Linked DNA regions of Schizosaccharomyces pombe. Changing the gene in region 2 together with the main gene of any one other region gives a genetic interaction. Each region holds a gene or a part of one and is shown on either strand. Other genes may lie near its edges.

The links.
Region 1: of cmk1 (region 2) and ppb1, changing one suppresses a phenotype caused by changing the other (phenotypic suppression), as found in Schizosaccharomyces pombe (one study listed by BioGRID).

The regions. Positions count from the first base shown.
Region 1 is NC_003423.3:2,872,242-2,875,998, reverse strand, and holds the start of ppb1 (calcium-dependent serine/threonine protein phosphatase calcineurin catalytic subunit Ppb1), read right to left. Parts: upstream 2,078-3,757; 5' UTR 2,003-2,077; coding exon 1,864-2,002; exon of another isoform or gene 1,820-1,863; coding exon 1,613-1,819; exon of another isoform or gene 1,459-1,612; coding exon 140-1,458; 3' UTR 1-139. Other genes in the region: oxa102 (translocase Oxa101), read right to left, coding at 2,872-3,757. UniProt on the Schizosaccharomyces pombe protein: Calcium-dependent, calmodulin-stimulated protein phosphatase. This subunit may have a role in the calmodulin activation of calcineurin. Appears to be involved in cytokinesis, mating, transport, nuclear and spindle pole body positioning, and cell shape.
Region 2 is NC_003424.3:1,737,645-1,741,401, forward strand, and holds the start of cmk1 (calcium/calmodulin-dependent protein kinase Cmk1), read right to left. Parts: upstream 1,657-3,757; 5' UTR 1,444-1,656; coding exon 1,280-1,443; exon of another isoform or gene 1,233-1,279; coding exon 1,178-1,232; exon of another isoform or gene 1,111-1,177; coding exon 1,020-1,110; exon of another isoform or gene 948-1,019; coding exon 617-947; intron 555-616; coding exon 188-554; 3' UTR 1-187. Other genes in the region: potassium ion/proton antiporter Kha1, read right to left, coding at 2,972-3,757. UniProt on the Schizosaccharomyces pombe protein: Important in cell cycle regulation.

The sequences.
Region 1 (3,757 bases), on a different chromosome or scaffold from region 2:
ATTATGCTAAAGTAAACTCATTTGCTTTCTTTATTTTGAGTGTTTAGATATTTGTTGTAAGTATGCTTAAAACCTCGGATCAGGTTTATGCTCATTGAAAAATTCCAACTAAAAAACGAATATGCGCAGGTTTTGGTATCTACAAAGAGCTTTTCTTATCTGCAAAGCGTTCTACCAAATGATCGATAGAGGTATCATCTTCAGACGAATTCATTACTTCTTCGAAAGCCTTTAAATCCGTAGAACGTCGACGGCTATTAGATGGCGGTAAACGTTCATTTTGGATATCCAGCTTACGAGCATCATCGAAGGAATTGATAGCATTTTTGATACCCTCAGCTCCCAACATTAAAGTACCCGCAGGTAATCTTTGCGTACCTGACACGTTTTTCAGTTCCGAAACACTTTCCCGTTCTTCTCTAAGCACACTGAATACTCGAGAGATACGGCCAATAGCCATAATCTTGTTTTTAATAATTTGCCTACGAGCTTCAATATCAATTTCTTGGTCGGCTTTATTTTCATTCTCAGATGGAGCAGGCTGTTTATGCTGAGTCGGAGCCGATTCTTTCAAATCCGTTTCATAAAGCTCCTCCTTAGAACATATATTGAGCATTGAAATCAACATTTCAGAAACTTTTTCGCCCACAAATGGAAGACTCCAAGTAAAAACATCCATAAAGTTAGGAAGCCAGTAAGGATGAGGGGAACAATTAAATTGTCTTATATTCATTACATTATTTTCGTATTTCAAAACAGCAGCTTTATTATTGTAAACATCCAAATAGTTGGGTGCTGAAAATATGGTCATCAAAGATGGAAACCCGGTTGTTTTAGTTTTGCGATACATTCGATAGCCCACATCTTGAGCTTCATGAGCACGAATAACGGAGAGGAGATTATTGTTTTCTAAGAAGGTGCAAACAGCTTGGTAACTATAAAAGTAAGAACAGCCACGAACATTATTATGAATAAAATGCTTGTTTGATTTTTCCGATCCAAAATCTTCAAGGGGATCAGACCAGAGTAAATCACACATCAACCCATGAGTTGGAGGCTCACAAAAACGATTGATCATTCGTATATCATTCAAAGTATGTAGTTCGGGTGATAATCCACCATGTACACATAAAAATTGCTTATTCATAATAGCTGCCAAAGGAAGGGCATTAAAAGATTGTAAACAAGCTTCATAAACTTTAATATTATACTTATGAGTACATTCTAACTTGAAGGTAAAATAGTCAGTAAGATGAGCGCATTCGTGATTGCCACGAAGCAACCAAAGCGTTTTCGGATACCATATTTTCAAAGCCCACAAGTACAATAAACACTCAATTGAGAAATATCCTCGATCCACGTAATCTCCAAGGAAAAGATATTGGGTATTTGCTGGATTACCTCCAACTTCAAATAGTTTCATAAGATCATAATATTGGCCGTGAATGTCACCGCATACTAAGCTGTCAGACCGAAGAATATTGCAATACAAACAAAATATCGACCCAAATTAAAATGAAGGAAAAACATAGTCATAAATTACATTTCAAAGTTCTAATATTTTACCTTATAGTAATTAGGGCCTAAATATGAAAGGTGATAATCAACATACCAGTGACAGGTGCATCCACCTCAATCAAGTTGTCTTCTGACTTCAAAATTTCTGTAGCCTTTTTTATAATATACAACGTTTGTTCCTCAGATAAACGGCCTTCCCGAATGAAATGATTGCGAAGAAAATGCAAGTCAGGTTTATCAGGTTCATTAATATCAAAAAACTCCACGTCCGTCGGAATATAAGTTGCTGGTGCTTGAACATCTTTGATTGTTAATAAGACTAATTTCTTTCAAAAATATCCGTACTTTTCACTACTCTATCCAGTGTGCTAACACTAGAGCCATCTTCTTGAACAAATATTGTAAAATCATGAGAAGGAGCTTGATTTTTTTGGCGAATTGCTCGAACTATTGGGTCTTCTAAATTATGAGGACCCGAAGTCATATTAGTAACTTTTGCAAGCCTATATACAGCCTGGGTAAAATGCTAGATATTCTTGCAAAAAGTTTTGGTAGATTCTGGTTTGTTATACTTACATCGTCCCGGCGGTTTTGGAAAATGGTTTAACGAAAAGCAAAGAAATTCGTAATTGCTTTTCTCAATGAACCATGTGAACAAAAAACATATCTGTTTACAATTCTAAGTACTTTTTTTTTTTTTTATAATATAGATATATTTCATCATAATCTTTACTTCTGTATATTTAAAAATTTACAAACAATCGCCGCTTAGACAAACATATCTTAATAACCAATCGTGTTAGTAATAAGAAATGAACTTGTAGAAAGGGAACCCAAATACTACCTGAATTCCTTCCTAATTATATTGCCTTGCTCATTTTTGAGAGAAGCAAACTAAGTTGATTTGATGAAACTTACATTCCATGATTACCTAACTGAAATAACGATAGTTTTATTGATAAAATAAATATCCATAAAACACTTTAAGAGTTAATAATCATTTTATTTTTTGTTTAGACGGCTACGTCAAATTTTAGGTTATTGTAAATATTCTTTGATTTCTCATCGCTTTCCGTAGTAAAGAATTAGACAAAAGCGATTTTTAGAAAGAATAAGCAAAATAAATGTAAATTTGGGTATTTTATTAGAAGTAAAGGAAATAGAAAAGAGTGTTGCAAGTGTGAAGATATATGCAAAAACTAAAACATATGTAAAATTATGGGATAAAGCCAAAGGAAAGAAATGAATAATGCAACAAATGTAAAAAATTAACCATATCTTACAAACTTTTATGCTCTCAATAGGACATTGGAACACTTCTAAGAAAGAGAATTCCAAAGCACACAAAAAAGCTTAATCTTTCTTCTCGGTGGGTTTGGTAACAGAAGAGGACTTGTCATTTTGAGAATTATCAGATAGCGTAGTAGCTTTGGTAATTGTACTATTATTAGTAGGTTTTTGCTCATTGTTTGTATCGGTTTTAAGGAAACGTGTAGCATCTAGTATTTCAGAGGCTTGTGGGTATTTACCTTTTTCTTGAACCCCATGGACAATATCGGTAAATGACTTAACAAACGATTCATTTTGAGCGTTCGGTACTGGCATAGCAGATGGGACTTCTGGTAAGCCAAGTTTATGCCTTATGGTGGATGAACGCAAAAATGCCCCTTGAAATACACTGAAGACATTGCTAGGAAACCAATACATAAAAATTGCCATAGGAAAATTCATAGTGAATAGTGGACTGGCAAGGCAAAGAAATCTAAAAAATTTTTTCATTGAGGGAGACATAGCAACCTTATTACTTCCAGTTTCGCTACCAAGCTCTATATTGAGCAGCATAAGAAGGCCGTTTGCAACCGGAAATATGTGTAGAGGATCAGGCTGGGATAAATCATTAACCCACCAAAAACCACCATCAGTGAAACCCTCTACAGGTACACCCGCCATTGTCTTCAACGCGTAAAAAAAGCTAATAAACAGAATTCCCTGAAATACAGGAGCAGAAAGCAAATTCAAAGGGTTAACATTGTTAACTTTATAAAGGTTTTGGATTTGAGTGGTAGCTTGCATCATTAATTCGCTGTTTCCTTCAGCCTTTGCTTTACTCAACACACTCATGTGTTCAGCAACCTTTGGGTTAATGATAGCGAGCTTTGCGGACGTTTTCATCATCTTTAACATAATAGGAAATACTGCAATTCTCATAGCAACAGCACATGCAGCAATTGAAGCCCAC
Region 2 (3,757 bases):
TGTATGAGGCTATTTTAAAAACTAAGTAGAGAACATGATAGGTCCAAGCATTCCAAATCACAAAGAATATATTTAACATGTAAGAGTGTTAATACCAAAAAAGTATGTACTGAGGGCAAAAGATAATAAAGAAGTCATAAGTCATAACAAGATAAAATAAGAAAGTTATAAGAAAAGATGTGTATAATTAATGCTTATTCTCAAGCTTTTTCCAAGTGTTGAAAGCACGTACAGCGTTATAGGCAGTACGGAACGTTTTTCTTGCATTGAAATTTTCCCGGACGTTTGGAAGCAAATTGGAGGTTGCGGGACGCTTTTCAGACAGGAAGGGGTGCTTCAACGCATCAGCAGCAGTTAAACGTTTCGAAGGGTCGTTTTCCAAACATTTTTTAATAAAGTCCTTGGCCGTTTCTGAAATGCCAGACCAGCAAGGATCGTTAAAAGTGTACTCGTTAGCTAAAATTGCTTCTATAACTTCAACCTGAGAAGGTCGAGCAAATGGAGTATAACCACTGAGTAAAAAATAAGTTATAACGCCAATAGCCCACATATCTCTATAAACAGTATTAGTCAAGATACATAACTTCTGAATTAAAATGGTAGTTGATCAACTTACACAGGTTTTCCATATCCGGTTCGACGAAAGACTTCGGGTGCCATGTACTCTGGTGTCCCACATGCCGTCATGAGCATATAGTATTGAGAATCCTCATAAAAGTGGGACAATCCAAAATCGGCAATTAACAAATCTGAATTCGGATCTTTAGAGCGATAAAGTAAATTTTCTGGCTTCAAATCTCGATGTACAATTCCATTGTCATGCAAGTACTTAACTGCTGATGTGGTAGTACGCATTAAAGCAGCAGCATCGGCCTCATAAAATGAACCTTTGGCACATATTCTATCAAAAAGTTCACCACCGGTGGCCAGTTCAGTGATTAAGTACACTGTTTCAAGGGTTAGTGAACAAAACACATCACAATAACATTTGATTCATCAAATCGAAATCGGAGACATACGATTATTCACAGTTTCAAAAAAATCAACCAAGTGTAAGATATTAGGATGTTCATAAGAAACACGTTTTAGAATTGCAATTTCATTCTTCACCTATACCACCAAAAACATGTTAGTAAACGTAAATAAGGATGCTGTAAGTACTTAAGTCTTTACTTACAAAGTCTTGTTTCTTCTCCATCATCTTTTTATTCATAATCTTAGCCGCATACATTCTATGAAAATTTGGTCAGCAAACAACTCGAATTTAAAATATACTTACTTGTTAGTTTCGATATGAACGGCTTCACGAACCGTCGCATATGTTCCGCCTCCCAAAACCCGACCGACACGATATTTGCAAGGTAATAGTTGTTTCTGATCCACCGTAGCCTTTGGAGCACCGTCTTTCAAGGCCGAGGTGTTTGGTTTGTATGTTTGCTGCATAGCTGTAAAGAATCAATAGATGAATTATTCCAATGCCAACGAAGGTAAACGTAAAAGGTTTCTCTTAATGTAAATTATTGTATTGTTAGATGGTGCCATAAACAATTCTGTACTACAGAATTCTTTTATGAAACCAAAAATGTAAAGGTATGTAAATGAAAAAAATCCCGTAGAAACAATAAAGAAAATATTATTTGCGCGAAGCAGGCTGTTGAGTTAAACGGTGGTTCAATAACAGAATGATCTAAGCAGCGCAATGACTGTCCACCAACTTATGACAATAAGTGCTTAGCCTCAACTTGTAAATATGGAAAAATTTGGAAAAGGTATATTGAAATCCTCGGATTTAACAGGATATTGATATTGAATGTACCCGAATAGTATTGATGAAGATAACAAGAAAACCAGCGTCTGATAAATACCGTCCAACTGATTTGCAATTGCAAAACCAGTAGTCTGCAGTATAGTCATAAATCCTGGTAATTCCCAATCGGTTCAGTAATTTCCGTACCTATTTTCCTCTTCTAAGAGAAAACAAGATCAGAAAGATCAAAATTACAATTAGCGTATTGAAACCACCAAACACTGTAACAATGCAACACAATTATTTAAAGAATTGAATTTAATTATACAATCCTTAAAAAATCGCAGTTTTATGAGCAATTGGCAAAACGCGAACTGCTTGAAATTTCGCTGATATTACCAGCTCATGAGAGTTAAGTAGATATAACAAGCCATCATGGCGAATATTGGTCACTAACGTATACCGTAATAATGCGCTATCCCATGCATTTTAGTTTGTTTAAATACAGTAAGCGTATTAACAACATAGAACAGAATACGAAAAGGTAACCACGTAACAAAGATTCATACTGTAACAAAAATTGTGAAAAACAGACTGAGTGTAAATTGAGCTAATAAAATCGATTTTGAATGATTACTTTTATAATCTTTTCCATCTTGGAAGAGGTATTTAGTTATTTGAGAAAGAACCGAACTACCTTCTGAAAGGAATACCATACATTTTACAATAGCAGTGAGTATGGTATGTTAATTTCTCATATGCTTCTTGTATGATAGTTAGTCGAAATGTATTGGAGATAATGTTGAAGAAGTAAATAGTAAAAAATGCGCATGCATGCTTGACTCCATTTGTTCTACAGTACTTTACCCTTGCTATGATATAAATTCAAAGTATCGGTTTAAACAGACGAAACCAATAAGGGTTTAAACTCACATGGGTTTTTGAAGGAAGATGAGTCTACAATGTAAACTATTCAACTCTTAAATAACACTTTTTGATAAATCGCGATATAGCCAAAAACTAGAAGAACCCTAAGTAACTTCTTCTTATTAAGGTATAAAACAAGTTTTCTACATTGCGAATAACGAATAGAGATGAATGCATTAATTCTAACATTGAAAATAATATAGTCGATCCTTTGGATTCCAAATAAATTATGAAAACCATTTAAATCATTAATTAAAAATAAATTATGAGATGGATGCAATAAAAACCTGAAATTAATCAATAACCTTGAACCATCTTTGTAGGTGCCTTCCCTAAAAAGAAATCTATTAATGGAAAATTGCTCAACAGCACTAACGGAATTAAACCTGCAAGCATACCAAATTCTGAGCTAGACTCAATGTAACCCAATTTCTTCATCTCCGACAGTGCAGCCACCTCAAGTTTTTCGCTCACAGCTTGTTTATCCCTACAGCCTAAAAACATGGTTATACTCTTTTCTGTCTCGAAAGAAGGGGTCAAGGTTGCAGGTTGAATAAGTTCATGAAGACAACTCAAAAGTGAGTTTAAATTTCCAAATTTTACTACATTAATCCTCGACCGAACACTATCTGTTACATCAGATAATCTCAAATCGAGTTTCGTATGTGTTTGAGAAGGAATAAAGGTCTGAGAATGCTGGTCTGTTGTAAATCCGTTTGGCTTAGTTATTTTTCGAATGTTTTTTCGAAGTTTCGGCCATACCTTAAAAGCTGAGTCATTATGCTTGCTTAACAGCACTTCACTTGTGTAAACGACATTAGGCAATGACGTCGCATAATCATCTTTATAGAATTCATCATATGTGTAAATATAGGCTATACTCGTCTCTTCATACAAAAACTTAAGTAAAAGCTCCAATGCAATTAAATCATTTTCAGTACCCAAATATATGAGAATTACAACCTTGCTTCTTTCATATGTAGAGCCTTTTTCTTTCACACTAATCTCAACCTGATCAAAGGACTTCTTGTCCTTTTCTAATTGTTCAAAATCATTCTTCGGTGAACCATACTCAGTACTACG